Lonchura striata: one gene and its partners. The protein of the gene in region 1 interacts with the protein of each later gene in a biochemical or structural test. Links are inferred from orthologs where the notes say so. Each region holds a gene or a part of one and is shown on either strand. Other genes may lie near its edges.

What was found. The genes of interacting proteins can lie anywhere in the genome.
Region 2: the proteins of KBTBD8 (region 1) and NOLC1 form a complex in vitro, tested with the Homo sapiens proteins (2 studies listed by BioGRID). The link is inferred for Lonchura striata from reciprocal best matches to the Homo sapiens genes KBTBD8 and NOLC1.
Region 3: the proteins of KBTBD8 (region 1) and TCOF1 form a complex in vitro, tested with the Homo sapiens proteins (2 studies listed by BioGRID, with this or other methods). The link is inferred for Lonchura striata from reciprocal best matches to the Homo sapiens genes KBTBD8 and TCOF1.

What each region holds. Positions count from the first base shown.
Region 1 is NC_134614.1:18,915,487-18,923,044, forward strand, and holds the start of KBTBD8 (kelch repeat and BTB domain-containing protein 8), read left to right. Parts: upstream 1-4,548; 5' UTR 4,549-4,642; coding exon 4,643-4,658; intron 4,659-5,878; coding exon 5,879-6,089; intron 6,090-6,724; coding exon 6,725-7,558. UniProt on the Homo sapiens protein: Substrate-specific adapter of a BCR (BTB-CUL3-RBX1) E3 ubiquitin ligase complex that acts as a regulator of neural crest specification.
Region 2 is NC_134609.1:13,347,088-13,354,619, forward strand, and holds the start of NOLC1 (nucleolar and coiled-body phosphoprotein 1), read left to right. Parts: upstream 1-4,530; 5' UTR 4,531-4,571; coding exon 4,572-4,685; intron 4,686-4,822; coding exon 4,823-4,878; intron 4,879-4,955; coding exon 4,956-5,077; intron 5,078-6,165; coding exon 6,166-6,281; intron 6,282-7,059; coding exon 7,060-7,201; intron 7,202-7,532. Other genes in the region: PIK3AP1 (phosphoinositide 3-kinase adapter protein 1), read right to left, coding at 1,374-1,386. UniProt on the Homo sapiens protein: Nucleolar protein that acts as a regulator of RNA polymerase I by connecting RNA polymerase I with enzymes responsible for ribosomal processing and modification.
Region 3 is NC_134617.1:6,328,601-6,335,901, reverse strand, and holds the start of TCOF1 (treacle protein), read left to right. Parts: upstream 1-4,299; 5' UTR 4,300-4,313; coding exon 4,314-4,427; intron 4,428-4,919; coding exon 4,920-4,975; intron 4,976-7,301.

The DNA of each region.
Region 1 (7,558 bases):
TTAGGTTTTCAGGGGGACCAAACTCACTGAATCTCTTTTTCGTGTTCCCTGTGTTGCACAGAGCGGTGAGATCCAGCTGAGTACTGAGTTCTTGTCTTGGTGCAGGTACCCCAGCCTTCTCTGTGAGGCTACTCCTGCCAAACTTTATTTTGACAGTGGCAGAATGGCTGTTTTGCTCTGCACTGACTGCTCCAGGATACATCACTGTCACTTCACCTAAATGGCACCAGTCACCCTGGTTTGTAGCAGCTGCTGGGACTTGCTGACCGCAGCAGAGCCTGTCATTGTGAGATTAAGGAGGGATTAGCTCTGCAATTCCAGTCAGCCTTCAGAGAAAGGTTAAAGACTTTGGGAGGAGGAAGTACGTGTGCGTGCGTGCACATGTGTCTTCCAAAACAACAGATGGTTTCAATAAAGTCGCTCCTGCTGCTAGGAAGTGGCACTTCTTGACATTAGCAGAGCCATATCTCATCAGGATTCTTGTTTCTACCAGCCTGGCTCAGCATGGCCAAAGCCAGTGTCTGGCATGGGGTAATCAGGGCAGCACTCCGGTATCTGCCCCATTAATTGCCCCCTGCCAGCCTGCCTCTCTCCTGATGGAACACCCACTGTGCTCAGTGTGGCGGGATCGATCGCCTTTGAAGGACAACTTTCCCTCATGATCTGCAATTCCCCCTACTTAAACTGCAGCCAGAACTGCCTTTTTACGGATTCTGCAAGAAATGTGTGATTTCTTGGAACCGCTAAACAAAAACCTCTCTGCTCCAATCAATGGATCGATGTATTAAATTATTGTGCAGCTAAATTAATGTGCCCCTCGGTGGCAGAATTGCAGAAAATGAGCAGTGTTTTATGCATTAAAGACAACCTAGTAAAAGATTGTTTTTCAAGGTTAGATTGTTCCACAGTGAATATCAAGATTTTTCCAATTAAAATATGAGGGGTTTTCGGAGCTGCATCAGCTCTATTGCTTCTCACAGTGTCACAGTGCAAATTAACAGGCACAAATAACTGAAAAACTGGAAATAGTAATTGAGACATATTTGGGAGTTAGCAAGTAATACTTTTTTTTACTAGTGTTTATTTAAATTGTATAGGTAAACAATTTTGCTGGAAATCACTGTGGAGTTATTTTGGTGGGATTTTTGTTTGCATGTTTAAACTCAAGAGTCATGAAAAATGCCACCATTCATAATGTTGTCAAGAAAAACAAAAGAGCTTCTGCAGCCCTTGGTTTTCTCTTTTCAGGGAAATGTGGGGATAGGCTGTGCCTTCCTTTCACAATGCTCTCTTTTCAGTGAAAAAAACAGTAAAAAGGGGAAAGAAAAAAAGGAAAACAGGATACAGGGACCTCTTCCTACAACTTTAAAGTAAACATGATATCCAAAACAAAAATGGCAATATTCACATGGATTAAAATTTGTTCCCTTTGAAAGCTTCAACCCTGGTTCACATTTTCTCTGAATTTTGGTCCAGTTGCCTTTCTTTGTTTTGCTGACAGGAGAAAACATGGGAAGTTTCCTACACACCAAATACTGTGTAGCAAGAGCTGCCTGCTCCAAAAGTTCTCTGCAGCCTCTCTTGTGCAGCAGGAGCACTGGGGCAGGTTACTCCCAGGTGACCCACACCAACCACTTCACAGATATGATGTTCTCTCTGCCCCTATGCTGAAGGCAACCAGATGAACCAGTTTTCTAATTAACTTGTTCAGCAGGTGCAATGACAAAGGAAAACCTTTTCAATAACTTCATTGTTTACCCGAACTCTTTTTATGGATATCTTCTAAATTCTCAAATATCTGAAAAAGTTTGTATTTTGTCCACTTTCTCCTGAAACCTTTTCTTTTCCTCTTTTCTCTCTTGAGCTCATGACAAAGACATTTTTATTCTGAAGGCAAGAATCCCAGAACACACAGTGCCAATTCTGAGTTTATAAGCAGTACAGTCTCTCTAATCACTTATAAAAGACAGACATAGACTGTTTGTTCCTTATCAATTGACATAATTTCTTTTTTATTTTGAGCCTTTGGAATATCAAATGGGAAAATTTCGCCACCAAGTGTATGTTTTCAAGCTCTATCTCCAGGAATGATACATTAGATGTGAAATTAAAGCACAAGTGAAAGCATTCTGATCCATCAGTAACAAAAACTTTAAATCCTTGCAAAATCCTAAAATAGGTTTCAGTGCATTACTGACAGACTGAAAAAAAAAAGGTATTGAAAATTATTAAAATACATACCAAAACCTATTATAAAATAAAAGAATTTATATACTATGTCTATTCACAGGTCCCCATTGTCTCCTGGAAAGCAAGAATTCATGAAATTAAATTATTTGGTCAACAGCATGAAGAAATTTGTGGCAGCATTAAGCTAAGAGCCCAATTTTTCACTTCTACACTTAAATATGGGCATGTATCACTCCACAGACAAAACAACAGGAGAAAGAAAATGATGCAGCAGAAGGGAGATGGAATTCTTCAAGCATCTTGTAATTTCTGAAAGAACAGGCTGAAATATTTGTGTGCAATGCAAATGCCATTTATATGAAGCTTTAACATGGCGTGTGACTGTCAAGGATTTCAGAGCAGCTTGCACAGGCAGCACATCTCATTCTGCCCTTCAGAGTTCCAGGGAATACTGTGCAGAACTGGGTGAAAAACCCAGATCCCCAGACTTCCATGGCAGTGCTCCACGGAGCAACATCCTAGGAGTGCTGATGGAGGTTTCCAGGGAGGGGAGAGGGTGATGGTGTTATTCCACTTGAGAAAGGCTCCAGCCTTAGCAAAGGTGCTGCTATGGATGCCTCTCAAAGCACATCTAAACCTGTTTGTATGGCAATTTGCTTGCTTCACCAAAAATCATACAAAGGTAAGCAATTTCAAGAAAGGCTCACGCTCCAAAGCGCCAGTTCAATGTGGGATTTGTATTAAAAAACATTCTACATTTGGCTTCTGCATTTTAACACTAATCCAGCCCGGCCCACGCGCCCACACCGGAGGAAATGAACTGTATCAGGCAATGTCATTTGCTAAAGGGTAAGAGCAGAGGAATTCTCCATCCCTTCGTTTCAGATTTCTAGGGACAATTTCACAGGCCGTGCCGTTGCTGGATGGGGAAATTGGAAAACTGCAGAATCCATTTGCGGACGTGAAGTTCTATTTTCTTTTACAGCGCCTTCATCAGAGTCTCCATCACTCCTGCGTTGTGCAGCATTATCATCGGAGCAGCCTGGACACCACTGATAATTGCTGAGTGAGGGGAAGGCTGTGCCTTGCAAGCCAAAGTAAAACCACCAGTGGGGCTGCACTGCCTTTAAATTCACTTTAAATTCACCTGCTTTGGAGAAGTGCTCATGTACTCAGGCTACTAATTCCTGAGAGTTAACTGAAATTAATTTAAAAATATTATTCAAATTGGTTTGTTTTGTTATTTTTTTTTCTCCCCAAACAAAACTTCCCAGCTAAAACCTGTGAGGCTGTATTAAATCTATTTAGCACAGAACCAGGAAAAATATACACAATTTTGCAATGCTTCCATTATTTAATTCTTCATTAATTGTGTTTCACAAAGAAAAAACTTCAAAACCTCTTCCACAACAAATGCCTGATAATGATACAGTTCCCAAGAATGAGACCAGTGGCTAATTGCTTTAGGAAACTGGAAAACCTGGTGGCTATCATCCACTTGTCCTCTGGGATGGAGAGAGAAATGTGATATTAAGGGTCAGGGGCAATGAAATGGTCACTTGTGTGCTGCATTCATTTCGCAGCTCTGTGGGACAGGTAGGGCTGATCTGGCTGTCCACAGCGTGCTGGGGTCACCAACCCTGGAAAAATTCAGAATATTCTTGGTGTAACAAGCTTTCAGACCAAGTAGCCGATTCTTAGTTCCTATCAAAGTTTAATTCAGCCTTGCACATCCAGTGGTCTCACATCCTGCCCCTCACCACACCCCTGGAGCATTAGGACGCTGGCAGGCATTCCTGCGCCCCAAGGTCAAATATTTGTGCGCAATGCAAATGCCATTTATATGAAGCTTTAACATGGTGTGTGACTGTCATGGATTTCAGAGCAGCTTGCACATCTCCTTCTGCCGTTCAGAGTTCCAGGGAATACTGCGCAGAACTGGGTGAAAAACCCACGGCGGCGGCAGCTCCGGGCGCCACCCGCTCCCCTCGGCGTTCGCCCCAGGAGCCGCAGCTCAGCGTGGGCAGGAGAAGTGCGGGGTTTGGGGGCGGAAGGGGCAATTTCCCCCTCAGGAGAGGCCAGTTCTGCCGGGTGTCGCTGCTGAGGGGAACACACCGCACCCCGCCGGGACAGGGCGCTGCCGCTGCCCCGGGGCCCAAAATGGCGGCCCGCCGAGGCGCCGCCGCCTCGTTGCTACGCAACCGGCTGGTCCCGCCTCCCCCCGGGAACTACAACTCCCAGCCATCCCGCTGCGGAGGGACTACAACTCCCGGCAGGCCCCGCGCGCCAAGGGCTGCCAGCCCGCACTACATGTCCCGGCAGGCAGCGGGGGCACTGGCCAATGGGCGCGGTTGATGCTGCGGGGTGCGCGGCCGGCGGTGAGCGGGGGAAGCGGCGCGGTGACATTTCCTGCCGGGCCGCCCCCGGAGCCGCTGCCCGAGCGGGGCCCAGGATGGCAGCGCTGGGAGGTCGGTGCGGGGCACGGGGGAGCGCCCGGTGCGACACGGGGGGTGCTGGTGCGGGGTACCGGGGCAGGGTGTTGAGGGGTGTCTGTGGGGGAGCGGCCGTGAGGGGGCTCGGGCCTGTGCTGTGTGAGGGGGCTCGGGGCTGTGAGGGGTCCCCGGCAGGGCAGCGGGGCTCGGCCGTGCGAGCTGATGGCGTGAGGGGACGGCTGCTGTGTGTGGGAGCGGGGCAGTGTCTGTGTGAGGCTGAAGGAGCTGTCCCGTGAGGGACCCCCCTGCTGGGTGAGGGGAGGGGGCTTGATGAAAGGCTTCTGTGAAAATGGGTGTGCTCTCTCGCTCCTCTTTGCCCCTTTGTGTTGCCTAAATTTTGTCGGAAGCACTCTGTTGCAGTCAGTAGCTTTACCTGATTTGCAGCTCTGGCCACCTAATGTTTTTCTTTTCAGCTCGCCTTTGTTGTTTTTGTTGCGTAAAAATTTTGGTGCTATTACGAAACAGATTTTGTGCTTGAGCTATTGCTCAATTTTCACTTTGGGATTTACTTCATTAGGCTTATCACATGTTATTTAGCAGCATATGCTCTACTAAATATGTTTCCACGGTCATATATGAGCTCCTTCACACGTGAGAAATTTCAAATTATAATTCTGTTTTATTTGTAGAGAAAAGATGTAACTGTATTTACAAATTTACGAGTTTTAAGTTAAGACTTATTGTAGGGCTGTTTCTTCATGAGCCTCTGCTCCAGCCATTACTTGTGTAAGGCAGGAGCCAGTTCCTGTTTCAATGTGAAGTTAAATATTTACATACAGGCTTGTGTAATGGTGGGGGTAGTTTGGGGACTTATTTTATTCCTCTGTGTCCCTTTCTATTTTAAATGTCAATATGTGTTGTGTTTCTTGACTTGATTTCCCCTTCCTCAGTTGTATGAAGTATTTGTATTGTTTTCCTTAATGGATATAAACTCTTCAGGGGGATAGAACAGAACTTTATAGTTGAATAGTAACTGACAAGTACATTGTGAAAAGGAAGAAAAAGTATTGAGATCTCTTTAGGTATTTACACACCCATGACAATGTTTGGCTTGCTGTTGAAGGATGATGATGCTGAGAAATTATGGAATATCAATTTGTGCTTTTTGGGTTTTGGCACATGCATGAATTTTTTTTGGAGGCTTTTTTCTTTTGTTACTGGTTGTTTTCTGTTAAAGTTTCAATTTTGCTTTGTAGAACCAAGTCAGTTTTCACAAACACTGAACGGAGTCCCTCCCTCAAACCAAGTCAGCAGTGGAATGGACCCCTTCCATGCTTGTAGTATTCTCCAACAGCTGAAGACCATGTATGATGAAGGACAGCTGACAGACATTGTGGTGGAAGTGGATCATGGGAAGACATTCTCCTGTCATAGGAATGTTCTTGCTGCAATCAGTCCTTATTTCAGGTAAAACCATCCATTGTTCTAGTGGGGATCAAAGCAGACAGAGTATTAGTGTAGGTATGATTTTTTTAGATTTTCATTTAATGAAAATAAGTTCTGTGTATTTCTAGATAATAAAGTGCACTAGCAAGTAAAGATTGTTGTTCTCTTAAGGTCAGTGGATTATCTGTGTCTGTTTCTTAAAGGAGAGTTTCATTGGAGACAATGTCACACAATTTTAAACCAAGCAAAACTGCCCCTGCTACTGAGGTTATCAGAGATACAGTAAGAACATATTGCAACTACTTGTTTTTTTCTCAAGTTACATATTTGAGCATGCATGTGAAATAACTTGCTGAAGGTTGAATGCAAAGACTTGGAAATGCCAAGATCTTTGCTTGTAAACTCAGTGAATTTTAACATGGGGTTAATGAGATAATTAAGAAGTTCCACTTTTGATTCAGTAAGAGTAGAAATGATCTTAAATTTAGGTACCCCAACAGGAGAGTTTAACACCTGTGCTAAATATGTTTGTGCTGACAGAGGGGCAAAGGCATTGGGACTAGATGTGTTTAATTTGTGCCAGTTTAATCGGTTTAATTTTGTGCCAGTAGCTAAAGGCAATAGCAGACAAACTGCTGGGTGTTCCTGCCTTGCAGATCGATGTTCACGAGCGGCCTTACCGAGAGCACGCAGAAGGAAGTTCGGATCGTTGGTGTCGAGGCAGAGTCGATGCATTTAGTGTTGAACTATGCATATACCTCCAGAGTAGTGCTGACAGAGGCCAACGTTCAAGCTTTGTTCACTGCAGCCAGTATCTTCCAGATCCCTTCCATACAAGACCAGTGTGCTAAATACATGATCAGTCATTTGGACCCACAGAACTCCATTGGGGTGTTCATCTTCGCTGATCACTATGGTCATCAGGAACTCAAAGACAGGTCGCAAGACTACATTCGCAAGAAGTTTCTGAGTGTCACCAAAGAGCAAGAGTTTCTTCAGTTGAGAAAAGACCAACTGATAAGTATCCTCAACAGCGATGATTTAAATGTAGATAAAGAAGAACATGTTTATGAGAGCATTATAAGGTGGTTTGAGCATGAACAAAATAAGAGAGAAGTGCACCTTCCAGAAATATTTGCCAAATGCATCCGTCTGCCTCTGTTGGACGAGACGTTTCTAGAGAAAATCCCTCCCGTGTTTGCACAGGCGATGGCCAAAAGCTGTGTACAGAAGGGACAACCCAGTGCCAATGGCTACACACAGCGGCTTGGAATGACCGCTTCCGAAATGATCATATGCTTCGATGCTGCCCACAAACACTCAGGAAAGAAGCAAACAGTGCCTTGTTTAGATTCGGTCACAGGGAGAGTGTTTAAACTATGCAAGCCACCAAATGACTTGAGGGAGGTGGGAATTCTGGTGTCTCCTGATAACGACATTTACATTGCGGGTGGTTACAGGCCGAGCAGCAGCGAGGTCTCCATCGACCA
Region 2 (7,532 bases), on another chromosome or scaffold:
TCCAGTGTGTTTTGTGATTCATGTGTATGGAGGATACAGAAATAATGCTGTTCAAAATAACAATCCTTGACAGATGGGAATTGACTCTCCATTAAAGATAATTGTTTATGGCATAAAGGAAATGCAACTCAAAGCATCTTAATAATCAAATTCTTATAAGAGAGAGCACTTCCAGCAAGTCATAGAAACTGCTGGTGGGCCATTAAAATAAGTCCTCAGCACATTCCACATTTCAGTATGTGAAGTGTGTGTATTTAAGTGATGTATGATGAAATAAATGCATACTCTGCATACATGAAATGCACAGTAATAGTGATCACATGAGACTTCTTACCTCAACTGGAATATAAAATCTTCACTTTAAATAAAATGCTGCAAACAAGTAAGAGGAAACAGCAGAACCAAAGCAGACAACATTTCTGCAAACTTAACTTCACAGAGAGGAACGAGAGATTTGCATTATGATACATTAATCTAAAGTTGTTCTTTTTTTAAGGGTCTCTGTGAAATCACCTTCTGTTTATAAGGAGAAAAGTAGTTTTGCCCACAAGTCTCCCGAGACCTCCGTTTAACTTATTTTTACCTCACAAGGAGATACGCGTCAATGAAACACAAATGTTACTTCACACCCTGAGAATGGCACGTTTTTTTTCCTTTTTTAGATAAAACCCATACGCTTCCCTGCAAAGAGAGGAACTTGCAAATTGGGCATTAGCAAGATTTACACAATACAGGCTAAACTCCTCTCCCCTTGAGTCTGCAACTCTTAGTCTAGGTAGCCTTACCTGCACACACGTCAGCTAAAACACTTTCAATTACGGCAAACTAGCTTAGCTTGTGATCCTGTGCCATTGTGGCAAGAGGCACCAAGTATACCCCCAAAAGGAAGTGGTGCTGAAGAATAAAGCCATATTTAGGAAAAACTGACTTCTCTATAAAACATCACAGAAAAGCACACAAGTCGTACAGGCGGACACGAGCAAAATACTCTACAGAAACCCTCCCTCAGAAGTCGCTGATCTGCCAAGCCGAAGTTCACTTAAGACGCAGGAAAGCTCTGCCAGCAGCTGCCCTGAACTGCAGACAAGCGAAGCAAGGCGAGCTAGAAAGCGCTACGAGCGAAGGAGCGCCGGGGCTCCCTGAACCCGGAGAGCGGACCGCCTTCCCTTTCTCCGGCAGCGGAGCGCCAGGGGCGCGCAGAGCCGCGCAGCGGCACCGCCCCGCGCGGGCAGCGGGCAGGGCTCCGCTACGCTCCGCTTGCCGGCACCGTGCCGCGGGGCAGCTCCGGGCAGCCGCGGCCCGCCGCAGCACAACCGCGCGGAGAAGCCCCGCCGCTTCCCCGCGGCTCCCGGGACGGCAGCCGCGGCACCTACCGGGGGCCGCCATGGTCCGGGGCTGGCGCTCCCCTTCCCTCACATCGGCGGCGCAGCAAGGCGGTGCATCCCCCGGAGCCGCTCCCTCGCCCCCAGCACAGCCCAGGGCACGGCACCGGGCTCCTCCCGGCCCCGCCTCCCGCCCGCGGCGCCCCCTGCAGAGCCCGGCACGGGCTGCCCCTGCCCGGCCGCACGTCGCCTTTCCGGTACTCGGCGGGACTCTGCCCCAAGGAGGGAAGCTGCCTGTTCCAGCTGGCTCCTATCACACTTTCCGTAGGTGGCCGAGGAAACAGCGCTACAGCGAGGAAAGTTGTGTTACAGTAATACAGTGGTCTCAAGAAACCGGGAACAACAGTTGAGGAGAAGAATAAGCGATACCTGTTTTATACTCATCCCTAACTTAGGTTTTGTCATGTCTTCTATGAGGAAGGAAAACTCCTAGGGAGAAGCCAAGCTGCTCCCTAAGAATGAAGTAGCTCGATGTTCTGTGTTTTCAGCTAGAAGATGCTGTCTTCCAAATGAAATTTACCAGTTTCTGTAAGACTGTGCTCATGTTTGAGTACAGAGACAATAAGCACCAGAAGGACAACGTTATTGTTCAGAGAGTAGGACTCAATTTACTAATCTTGTCACTGGAGACAAAGCAACAGATTCTGCCTAAATTATTCAGCCTATTCCTTTGCAAACTTTGAAAAACCACTTTGAAAAACCAGTGAGATCTTTCATTGATGCACTTCACACCAAAAGCAGACTCCTTACAATCTGGCTTCCCAGTCAAGGCAGTCATTCGACATTCTGTAAACAGCTTAACGTCACCACTAGTTTTAGAACAGAGGTGATTACAAGCAGAAAGGAACCAACTGTTTTCCACTAATAAACTCTATCTCAGAAGTTAGTCAAACTCTCTTGTTACCTCCAAATCTTTCTTTACTGAAAACCTATTTTAAGCTTACAAACTGCATGCCACTACCTGTCTTCCAAAACCCAGGTGTTCTCTCAATAGGAAAGCACTAGGACTAAAAGCACTTCCTGATGATAAAGCTTTATGAGTAATTCCAGGTTTGCAAAGAAGAAACCATAACTTTCCCCTCTGAATCATCCCAAAATTATACACTAAAGAACACACAGACACTGGAGAAGAATCCCAACTTGGGATTTATATGAAAGACAAAAGTTAACTAGTTGGAAACGAGAATCTTTAAGCAAATTATTTTACTATTATGCAACAGCAAGTATATATTAAGAACTATTTAAACAAATGGATGACTTTATGACTGTTCCACATTATTTTACTGTCTTGGGGAATACAAGGACAAAATGGCTTTCCCTGCCAGGTGATCTGGACAGCTGCAGGCACAGCATAGGCGAACACACCCAGAGAGCCACACACCTTTGAAGAGAAGCGGCTACACAGCACAGGGAACAGACCTAGCTGGCAAAGGCCAGGCAGGAGAGGGAGATACTTATTAACCAGAGGAGAAGCAAAGTGAGCCAGTAAAGCAAACACAGTCAGTCATTTTCCCGGCTCCTCACAGCCAGGGAAATTCACACAGTTACTTCACACAGCAGGGCTTAAAGTAACAACAGTTTACCAGCAAAAGCTGCATCTTTTCCTTTCCAACGCAGGCAAAAACACAAAAGTTTGCTGAGCTTTGCAGATGAAGCTTGCAGCTGTAGGTCACTGTAGAGGGGAAACTACAAAAACTATTAGTTCCTGCAAACAGTTTCCTTTCTGCAACACAGCCTCGTGTTATTCCACACATAAAAGGGGCAGGGAATCTCAAAAACAAGTAAACATATCTAACCAAGCCTCCGCACAACACCCCTTTTCTGCCACACAGGCTACAGCATCTGTACAAAATTACAGAATCTTACAGTACAAAATACCACAAGAGCTGACTTCTGTTTCCCCATGAGTGCAAACATGGGTCCTTCCAGAAACACCAGGAACAGGTACAATTTGCTGAGAACAGAGCCCGTCCAGTTGTGCATATTCATTGGGCACCAAGGCACAGAACACCCACAGAGCACAGAACAGCAGTATTTGGAAATAGTTAAGTGCAGAGAGCTAGGTAGGGGAAATATAAAAAGCAAAATACTGCCTACCTACCACTGTTTTTTTGAGCCTGGCAGCCCTAAATCTAGACTTTAAGTACAGGACTCTCTTCTTCCTTGGCCCTCAGCAAGCTTTATAGTACCATCTATTGAAGGAAAAGAAGAAAAGTGCCATTCATCACAAAGGCAGGAATAGAGAGCTACATCCAGCAGAGCAAATCTGCAGTATTACAGAAAAAAAAAAAAAAAAAAAACCAACAAAAACTTTCCTGTAAAAGTAACTAAAGCTACTTAAATATACAACAGGTGAATTAAATCTCATCCTCATCCTCATCAGTGTTGTGAGCACACTAACACACTAAGCTTGTCCTGCTCAGCCCCATCTGGGGCTTCCACATCCACCCTTTTCCATAGGTCCAGAAGCTCCATTTAAGGTCAGGTCCGGGTCTTCAGCACTTATTTGAGCTATACCTATTTCATACCTTATCTCCCACCTTGAAGCCCCTCAAGCCTATATTCTAGACAACCTTGTCTCAAATTCATTTTCTGTCTCTCACAGGCTGCCGCTTTAGGATTATGGTGTTACTTTCACCAGCTCTCTCTGTTCCCGTAGGGATTTTGCAGGAGTATTCAGTACGTTCCTGTATGGGTTCAGGCTGAGAGCAGCGGCGAGTGCCGGCAGCGGCCCCGAGCTCCGCCCGCAGCCCTGCGGGGCTGCGCCGCGCTGCTGAGGGCTCTGCCGGCACCGAGCCTGCCCGCAGCTCCCAGCCTGCTCTCCGCCCCAGAGCAGCCCAGCTCCTGCTCTCCAGCATTCCCCCAGCGGTCTCCTTTCAGCCATTTACAACAGATTACAAGTACGAGTAAGCTGGTGAGTCTTAAGCGGACTTAAGTCTAAGAGTCGAATCCAGAGCGGAGTGGGCACTCCCGGGCTCCCAGCCCCTGTCCCGCCGCTGCCCCACAGGCGGCAGCAGCAGCAGCACGGAGCGTGCCCGCCGCCTCACGCCGGGCAGCGCCCCGGAGCGGCGCCGCGCGGGCAGCTCGGCAGCGGTAGGGGCGGGGTCACGTAGGCGCGCGTACGCACGCACGCACGCACGCACGCTCGCAAGCGCGGGCGCGTGCGCGCGCGGCACGTGTCGGCGCGGCATGATGGCGGAGCGGCGCGCGGTGCCCAGCGACCTGTTCCCCCTCGTGCTCGCGTTCCTGCGCGAGAGCGGCTGCCAGGGCGCCGCGCGCGCCCTCGCCAGGGAGGCGGCGGCGGTGAGCGGGGAGCGGAGCGGAGCGGAGCGGGACGGGACGGGACGGGACGGGACGGACGGGTGGGCGGGGGGACCGACCCACCGACCGACCGACTGACTGACTGACTGACTGACTGAGTGTGGCCTCTCTCGCTTTAGAAGGAGCAGGACCCCAACGCGGCCTCCCTCCTGGACATCTTCACCTACTGGCTGCGGTAAGTCCCCGCGGGGTGCGGTGTCCCTCCGCCCGGCCCGCGCCCCGCGGGACCCCGCTCAGCCCTTCTGCCCGCAGGTCTCCGGCGGCCAAGAAGGGAAAGCTGGTCCCGAACGGCGCCCAGGCGAAGAGGAAGCCGTCCGCCAGCAGCAGTGACAGCTCCAGCGAAGAGGATGAGAAGCCCCCGGCCAAGAAACGTGGTAGGTTTGTGCGCCGCCCTGGTGCACACCCGGATTATGTTTGCCATTGGCTTCTCACGTGCGTTTAGAGCTCAACTTCAGTTGCTCTTTTAAGGTCTTTCAGCAGCTGTCAGGGATTAGGTTTGTATTAACTGATTTCGGTTTTGGCAGGTCTTTTACCCATGACATGGAAGATAGGTTCATTTTAGTTAAGGCTGATCTCTGTATCTTGTTAAAATTTAGGCACAGCAGTTTGTGTCCCATGGAAGGTTTTAGCCATTCCAGAGAAATCCTAGGTATCCATACTCACCTGCTGCTTGCGTGAGGTTGCTGCCCTTTTTTCTTTAGAGCTCATGTACTAGTGCTACCAAAAAATATATCCCTGTGCTGCACTTTGCTATATGGTGAGCTAGATTTTTCTGTTTTATCTGAAACTGTTCTTGTATCTTTCATTAATCACTGTACACAAGATTGTGTGTGTCTAGCAGTAGGTTTACAGGAGGGAAAGAATAAATGAGGAAAGGGAGAAACACAGAAAAATTTGTCGTCAACTTGGGCCATCCTAAAGCTGAATTTGAATTTAGATCTTATTTTTATTTGATAAGGACATTTGTAAATATAATATAAGACAAAACTCTTTGTTTTGCTCCACATTATTGAAAAGCAGTCAGTAACCAGGAAGTGGATTTGGCCAAAACACATTTGGGTGTCTGGAACCTTAACACGACATTGCAGTGTTTCTCTTTGCAAGCACCAGTCAGTACTGGTTCAGCAGGTTTCTTTAAGCTGGAAGGTGTGCAGACCCAGCTAATATTATCTCAGTTTGAGGGGTGCTCTTTCTTTTTGGGATGTCCTCTTTGGTGATAGAAATCTGCACTTAAATTTGTGTGTGACAAAGATAAAGCCTGGAATGGTTTTATCTTTTTGCTTACCCATTTTAGAGCAGTCTGCCATACACTGCTCAAGAAACAAAGTCAGTTTTACAAACTTCAGTCATGGTTTAATTACCTTAATGTATCCTTTTGCCCTAACACCCACTAGTGCAGGATGTAAGTACTAGAAAGTTGTGAATTAACTTGCCATCAATGTATACTGTCCCTTTTTTGCAGCTAAAGCATCAGCTGTGCCCAAAGCAAAAGCAGTTCCTGCAGCCAAGATGGCAGAGAGCAGCAGTGAGGACTCCAGCGATGATTCAGACTCGGAGGAGGAAAAGAAGCCAGCAAAGGTTGGCTTTTCTTTCCAGCATCTTTAATGTGTGTTTGACAGTGATGAATACTAGCAAATTTAACCAACAGAATTGTGTGGGATATTGGGCTTACTATCCCTGGACTATGAAGTGCCCATGCTGCTGTAGATAACCATGCAAAAAGACATTTCTGTAGTGCAGTTTGGATTGGTCCCAGGAAAAGTTAATTTTTTGTCCTGCACCCACCCTCTTTGTTTCATATCCAAGTCTGGTCCTTGCTCTTATCCTAAGACTGCCAGGGCTTAATTCCTTTGTAAAGAAAGATTCAGTACTATGAGTTTGATCTTTATGTATATGGGTGTGTGTATGTGTTTGCATAAAAAAAAGAATCTTCTCTTTGCTTTTTCTTGCTGCAGTCATGGTCTTGAAGTGGAGGCAAGGAACAATGATGTCAGGGGAGGAAGAGTGATAACATTGTACACTAGAGGAGACCAACTAGAGTTGCCCAGTCATTATTTTCAGTCTTCAAGCTAGTGGGATCTGTAGATAAGAGAAGAGGACAGTGCCAGCCTCAGAACTGCCCCATTTTCAGGAGGCAAAACTGAAGACTGATGTGCATTTCTGGGAGGTTTTCTAGAGCAAAACTTTTCCCAGGATTTTCAGACCCTGACCACTAAGCAGACTGGCGTTTTCAAATCTAAATCGTAACTTCTGTGAAAGACAGCTGTTTCTACACTCTGTATATGTGTCCATCTTATTAGCCTTGTTTACTTTTCATGACTTTGAGGCTTAATCAGTTTTTCCTGCTGTTGTTTAGAAAGGTGCAAAACCTGTGGTGAAGCCAGCTGGGACCAAAATCCAGCCTCAGAAGAAAGCAGAGAGTTCCAGTTCTGACTCAAGCAGCTCAGATGAAGAAGCACCAAAGAAGCAACCACCAAAAGCAGCAACACCGAAATCAGGTACCTGTTACTGTGTATCATGAGTAAAGTGCAAAATCCAAAAAGCAGGGGGAGGAGTGCTGGGGGCTGTACCTACATGCAGAGACATACGTATTAACATAGCAGTCTGAAAATCTGCTTTTGCTGCCATTTGCACTCCAGTCTAGTCTCTTCTGACATAGAGGTGTAGAACTGAATGAAAATAAAACATCTGGTCCTGAGCACCACATTGTTTGAATAACTGTTTATCTATTACTTTTACCATTGTCGTCTCCTCAAACAGCAGGGAAGATTATTACTAAGCCTTTAGTTTTGGAACTTCCCATGAGCTACAAGACAGTTTCCAGAAAAT
Region 3 (7,301 bases), on another chromosome or scaffold:
CTGCTCTGCCCAGGTGGTGCCCCCTGGGCTCTTTCCAGGAGGCAGAGGGCTTGCAGCTCTTTGACAGGGCACTCAGTAGCAGGGAAGTTCAGCTCAGCTTCTGAACTGGGCCATGAAGATTATCCTTCTAAACATGACTTGCATTTTCAGCCAATGTTCTGACCCATGAAACACATCAGAGTTACTTGTTGGGGGTCTCAAGGGTCCTGTCCCTGGCCACCCATCCCACCCTGCTCTGGAGCCAAGGCAGAAGGAGCATTGTGCCTGCAACTAATATTCTGGATGGGACCAGCAGCCATGAAACATGTCAAGTGAGGAGCTGCTGCAGCTGAGGAGCAAACAGAGCATCTTTCCTCTTGTCCCTGCTCCACCACTGTGGTGTAAACACCAGCCAGAAGCAAAGGGAAAAGAGCCTGAGACCTTCCTACATATAGATGCCACACGTGCTGTGTGCCACCCTGCCCTATGATCCCTCTGGATCACAGTCCCTTCATTCTGCAAGTCCCATCCGGCATCACCAACCCCATATGCACCAAACAAAAGGCACCAAACAGAAGGTGACAGGAGACATGGCACTGCTACCACACATGACATGCCAGGGTGGACAAAGACCTGAAGGTGGAGAGCAGCATTGTGTGTCCCTGCAAACCCAAGGGTCCTGCAGACATGCCTGGGGGCTGTCAGCTCCTGCTGGGAAAAACACAGGAAGGACAGAGCTCCCCAGCCTGCAGGCACACTCCTGACCCCAGGCTTGGCTGGGACACAAGCAGTCATTCAGAACGGAATAGGTGTGGACAAGTCTGACCCCAAGCAATAACCAGGGAGCCTGTGAAAGTGGCAGCAAGCAAAGACCTCAGCTTGTAGGCTGAGGGCAGGGAAGGGCTGTGTGGTTATTAGCAGACGGAGCTGAGCTGGCTCCTCAATTACAGCTGTTTTATCCCCTGTCTGGACTTCCAACAGCTTCCTCCAATCCCTTCGTGACTCAGTGTCTTGGCATGGAGAACACATACCTGAGAGGCTGGATTTTGAAATCCACCAGGGACATTTCACCTTCCTAAAATAAAGAGTGGGCAAAATATTTTCAAACTCCTTCCAAAAAATGTGCACACACAAAAAAATACCACTCCTTAATAAGCACATGTTGTTGGATCTCAGCTGGTTTTGGGCTGGGGTAGATTTTCCTGGTTATAATCATGCATCTGTTTGCTGACTGAATAGCTGTATTTATTTTTTGACATGTTTACTAACCACCTCAAATACCTTCTCTACCTGTAATTGTGGTGCAGCATACATATTATTTTTTTTCAGATTTCTTCATTCAAGTGGGTTGTGTTATTCCCAGGCCCTGCGCTGTGGTTTGTGGAGTGTATTCGTGGTTTGAGGGTATGAAGCTTTGGACTCAGGTGACCCTGAACTATGGCAGACCGGTGAGGAGATACTTGGTGGAGGCAGGGGGAAAATGGAGTCAATTTTTCAAGCTATTTGTACATGGGTGCTCAGAGCTTTAACATCCTTTATTTTCCTTTCTCAAGCAGTCTCTCATGAAAGCGTTTCCTCCCATCTGTGCCCATCTATCTTCCTCCTTTCCATGTTTTATTGAAGTTGGTCAAAGTCATGCTTTCTAGTGCATGTGTGCCCTGAACCACAGGCAAAGAGGAGAGGCCTGAAAATGCAGCAGAGCAGGGGCTTGCTGCATTCCTGGCACCCAAATGCTGCGATGCTTTCCCCGGGCACCCTGTAAAGAATCGTCCCCTTGGCACGGAGATCAGAGGGCTCTGGAGAAGCGGGGCTGGCAGAACACCTCCAGCCCCGCCCTGCAGGGCTGTGCTCCTCTCTCCTGCCCTACCTGACCTGAGTGTCTCCTTGCATTGTCCACCCCCTGCAGGTTAGCAGGATGTGCTCCCCTCCTTTGTCTCTCTGCTGGAATCTCAATGATTTGCTAATCTGGTCACCTGCCACCCTCCCCCAAGACCTCTCCAAACAGTGCTTTTGCAATTCCCTGCACCACACAAGCCTCCTTTAATAGTTTGACATTTGTTTCAAGATGTTTGGAGAGCGTTGCTGCCTGGAAGAGACCCTGAACCCGGGGCACCAGCTCCTCTAATCACCAGCCTGCTGGGTTAGTGCTCAGATTTGGCTTTTTTTTCTTTAACTAAACAAAGCAAACTGAGCAATTCCTAAAGGTATAAAGCCATTCCAAGACAATCACAAAGCAGGTCTGAAGCTGTTCATCCATATCCTTGCAGCAGAGCTCTTTTTGGGCTCCAGGGGCTCAATCTGCATCCAACCTCATTTCCAGGGGCCATGAACAGCATCCTCAGGCTGCCTCTGTCTGCTCAGCCCCATCCACAGCCTCCCCAGGAGACACCCTTCTCTCTCCTCTCTGCCCTGGGCTGTTTCATCTGGCTTTTCCTCTCCAGACAGGAAAACCAGGGCTGCAAACCAGGCCACCAGCTGAGACTTTGTGCCTCATGTCACCTCAGAGCAGCGCTGGGACAGCTTGTGGTCCAGCCACCCCCTCACAGAGTGTGCTGAGGCCACGTTTACGCCAGGCTGCAGTGCCCACTTGAGCAGGAGGAGGTCAGTCCCAGAAAGGGCTGTCCAGGTCTGCGATTCATTTACAGGAGCTGTAAAACTGCCACCTGGACCGTGCCTTTACAGCCTTGGACCATGCTGGTGTCAAAGGCGTTCGGTGCAAGAGCCAGCTGGAGCCAGGCCAGTTTTAGATTTAATCCTGCCTAAGAATACAAATACAGGGTCTGTATTTTGAATGAGCGACAGGCGCACCACGGACATTATTAAGCCTTCCAAAAATAAACCCCTGCCAAAGTGATGGGAGCCAGATTTTTTCCTGGAAAGTATCAGCACGGGGTGAGGGGTGCTAGTGGGGCAGTCCCCTCACAGGCCCCTCTCCAACAGCTGCTCTGCATCAGGAGCAGCTTCTTCCCTCTGCCCCTTTGCTTATTTAAGCCCCAAAAACGCCAGTGTGGCTCTTCCGAGCAGCTCAGAGTCCACCCAGCACTAAATCAGCTCTGAGGATTCGCCTTCAGAGCACTTTGGATGAATCTGATGGAAAACCGCTCTGAATTACACAGAATTACACAGGGCTGTGCCTCACGCGCTGGTGCCGGCTCGTCCTCGGCCCTGCCGCTCTCTGCTCGCCCCATCTCCTGCCCGGGGCTGTGAGGGCCCGGCTGGGCCGTGCGGTGAGCCCCGCTTCCCCTGCGGGCGGGAGGGAGCCGCCGTGGGCTGGCCGCCCCCTCCCTGCTCGGGACCGCCGTGACGGGACCCGCTCTTTGTGTCCCCCGTCCCCAGCTGAGGGGTGTGAGAGACCCCCATGGCGTGACCCCGTTCTGTGACAGAGCCCCATGGCGTGACCCCCCTGTTCTGTGACAGAGCCTCATGGTGTGACCCCCCTGTCCTGTGAGAGACCCCCATGGCGTGACTCCATTCTGTGAGAGACCCCCATGGCGTGACTCCGTTCTGTGAGAGAGCCTCATGGCGTGACCCCCGTGTCCTGTGACAGAGCCTCATGGCGTGAACCCCCGTGTCCTGTGACAGAGCCCCATGGCGTGACCCCCCTGTCCTGTGACAGAGCCCCATGGCGTGACCCCCGTGCCCTGTGAGAGACCCCCATGGCGTGACCCCCCCTGTCCTGTGACAGAGCCTCATGGCATGAACCCCCTGTCCTGTGAGAGACCCCCATGGCGTGAACCTCCTGTCCTGTGAGAGACCCCCATGGTGTGACCCCCCTGTCCTGTGACAGAGCCCCATGGCATGAACCCCCCCATGGCATGAACCTCCCCCTGTCCTATGACAGAGCCCCATGGCATGAACCCCCTGTCCTGTGAGAGACCCCCATGGTGTGACCCCCCTGTCCTGTGACAGAGCCCCATGGCATGAACCCCCCCATGGCATGAACCTCCCCCTGTCCTATGACAGAGCCCCATGGCATGAACCCCCCACCCTGTGAGAGAGCCCCATGGTGTGACCCCCCCGCCCTGTGACAGAGCCCCATGGTGTGACCCCCCTGTCCTGTGACAGAACCCCATGGCGTGAACCCCCCACCCCGCCCTTCCGTTCTCCCCATCTCCGACTGGGGCGGCATGAGAGCCCCCAAGGGGTGGTTTCCTATTCTCTGTCCCGTTTCCCGCGGGGGCGGTGTGAGGGACCCCCATGAGGTGACAAACCCCTCCCTGCCGGGTCCCCCCGCCCCGTGCCGCCCCACGGACACTCCCGGCACTACATCTCCCATGGGGCCGCGCGGCGGAAGCGGAAGCCGCGTCCCTCCGGCGCGGCACGCGGGCCGCGCCATGGCCGCCGACGGCGGCGGTGGCGGGCGGGAGCTGCTCGCCCTCATCCACGAGCACCTGCTCCGCGGCGGCTTCGCGCGGGCCGCCCGCGAGCTGCAGGCGCAGAGCGGACAGGTGACGGGCGGCGGGCCGGGACGCGGGGCAGGCAGCGGGGGCGCGGTCCCGGAGCGCGGGCCTCGGCGGGGCCGCAGGGCCCGGTCCCTTTCCGCGCCCTCACCGACCACCGGAGCGCCACGCGGGTGCCGGGAGCACCGCGGGCCGTGGCTCCACGCCGGACCCACGTGGTGTCCGGCACCCGGGATGCTCCCGGTGCCCGCGGGCCGTCCCAGCCCCGAGCCGGCCGGTAGAGCCTCCCGTACCGCGGGGCTGGTGCTCCCCGAACGCGTGCTGCTCCGGGAGAAGTCTCCAGGGAAACACGCGGCCCTGGGTGCAGCGGGGCGGGGAGTGGGAGGGATTCGCCGGGAGGTGTGTGCAGGGAGAGACGGTCCTGTTTTCCTGGGGAGGTTTGGATGGGCCCCCGTGGTTGCTGCTTCTGTCTGGTGGGCACATCTGAAATTGGGTCACATTTGGGCCGGTGTTTGACTGGTGTTCACTCTGCTTTCACAGAAATTACTCCCTTCCTTCTCGACCTCTCTCGAGGACATCTTTACCCACTGGGAAAAGTAAGTCACAGGAGGGAATGAGTTTCGGATAGATTCCAGACTGTGCTGACGTCTAGGCTGCATGGCATGTGTGATTTTTATTTGTTGGAATTACATGTAGTCAGAGGACTTCCAATGATAGCTGTGCTCAATAGAATTTTCTCCTAACCTCTGATTTCACAGCAGTTCCTTTCAGATGTCCGGGGCTGTGCTGCTTTAAAACTTCCTGAGCTTGGAGATAAGTTGTTACTTTAGTTTTGAGCAGCTGAGCTGTTTGTGTTGGCTGATGCTGGAGTGTTGCATAGCTCAGTCATGCTTTACTGTAAGAAATATCCTTCCCTGTTCTGTTTCACTTTCTTTTTAAAGCCACGTGCTTTGCAGGATTATTGACCCGAGAACAGAGAAGTTGAGCAGGTGCTGGAAATGCCAGAGCTCTTACATGGACTTAAACCTTGGCATAGGTCACAGATGATCTGACTCAGAGGAAATCTCCTGGTTTCAGCCTGTCCTTTCAAGTCTTTACATGTTCCAAATGCCTTCCTGTATTGTTATCCCCCATTTGAAGGTCTGCAGGAGAGAGCTTTCCCATCTGTGATATTTGCACCCACCCTGTGCTTTGGTTGGATGTTGGAGTGAGCACTGCCAAGGCCTGTGGCAGCCTCAGTGCTGGCTTATCTGGGAATCTGTGGAGTTGGAGCTCTGGAGTGAGGATCTCCTCAGCATTAGGAGCAGCAGCCTTGGGAAGTGTTTCTTCAGAGGTGTTTCTGCTCAATGCCTCGTGCCTTGCTCTTGTCCTCCATACCTGAGCAGGAGAAAGGCTGGATCTAGAAGCATAGAATTAGGTTTGCAGTTCCTCCCTCTCACAGTTTGTTGCTCTCATGGGTGCTGATGGTGACCTTCCCACGTGCTGGTTATCCTGCCTGCTGCAGCAAACCCTCCCAGACACTGTTGCTTTTAAACTTGAAGGGCAACAGGGCATTTGCATCAGGTTTAATTCTTCTTTCTTCAGCATCACCCTTCTGTTCTGGTCCTGCCCCACATCTGTTATTCCTGAGTTCTACCTGCTTGGGAGTCAGAATGAGGGATATGTTGGGCAGTATCTTTATCCTGGAGTGCTCCTGTGAGTGCGCTGGCTTTATCACATTCTATTGCTCATAGGATTTTGGCCCAAAAATGTCCTTCCTTAATCTACCCTGTGGTTCTTGTCCTTCTCACCAATGCCACCCCTGTAGGTGTTCTCCAGTAACTCTTCCAGACTGAGCCTAAAGCTGAGTCTTGCAGTTCCATAAGTGGCTTCCCTCCTGAGCTGCATTTACACTTGGAGGATGCAGAGAGGGAGTGGAAGGGTCCCTGGGAGCTGGAGAAAGCTGGACCAGCTCAGTCCTAGGAGCAGCCTGAGCCCTACAGGCCTCAGATGTTCCAGAATGCCACAGGGACAGAGCTAGCAGACACCATTTCTTCCCCTCACAGGGTATTCTTGAGCTCCTGGTCACTCACACCAAATTATCACATCAGTGCGTGCTGTGCTGTCAGCTGCCACTGGATCAGGATGGTGTTGCAGGATCAGAGCTGCCTGTGGGGGCTGCCCTGTTACTTTGTTAAAAGGATTATTGGAGTAGTTACAGGACTTTCTAAGAGCAAACGTGCCTTTGTCTTTTCCTGCTTGCACAAAACTTGCTGTTACAGCTGTGCTGGCAGAACACTCTGACACCAAGCACAATCTTTACTCATCAAATTGCTAAACAAATCTTGTTTTTAAAATGGATGAACAAATAAAATGAGCTAAACTGGCCCAGAAATGAGACTGTTTACTTCTGATAACTGTGTGTCCCAAGGCTTACAAGCATTGCTCGTGTGAGTCACACCAGTGTGTTCCCAGTGTTACCCTTGTAATAAAGCAAATGTGTTGTCTTTAATTCTCAAATGAAAACATGGGTAACTTTATCATCTGTTCTGGTACAGGTATGATTTAGTGCCTGGAGAAATCTTTCTCCAGCTTAATGTTTTAACCCAATTGAGCAGCTTAAGTGTTTAATACTTATGTGGCCTCTTCCTCCTCTTTTTCTAACACATTTTCTGTAGGTCCAGCCACTTCCTTTCTTAAAGCTCTCTGCAACCTGACTTTCCTTTTGACTTGGAGCCCAAGTTCAAATGGCTTTTGTACCCTTTAGATTGGCTTCTCCTGGCCCTGTGGAATACCAGGACCTGGTATTTTGGGAATATTTGATCTAACCCTGAGGCTATACTTACTCTGAGACTGTAGCTGCCCCTGGAGAAGGAGTTTTTTCTGTAGGATGCCTTGCATTGAGCACCAACCTGACTGTGTATGTTTTTATTTCTCTACTAA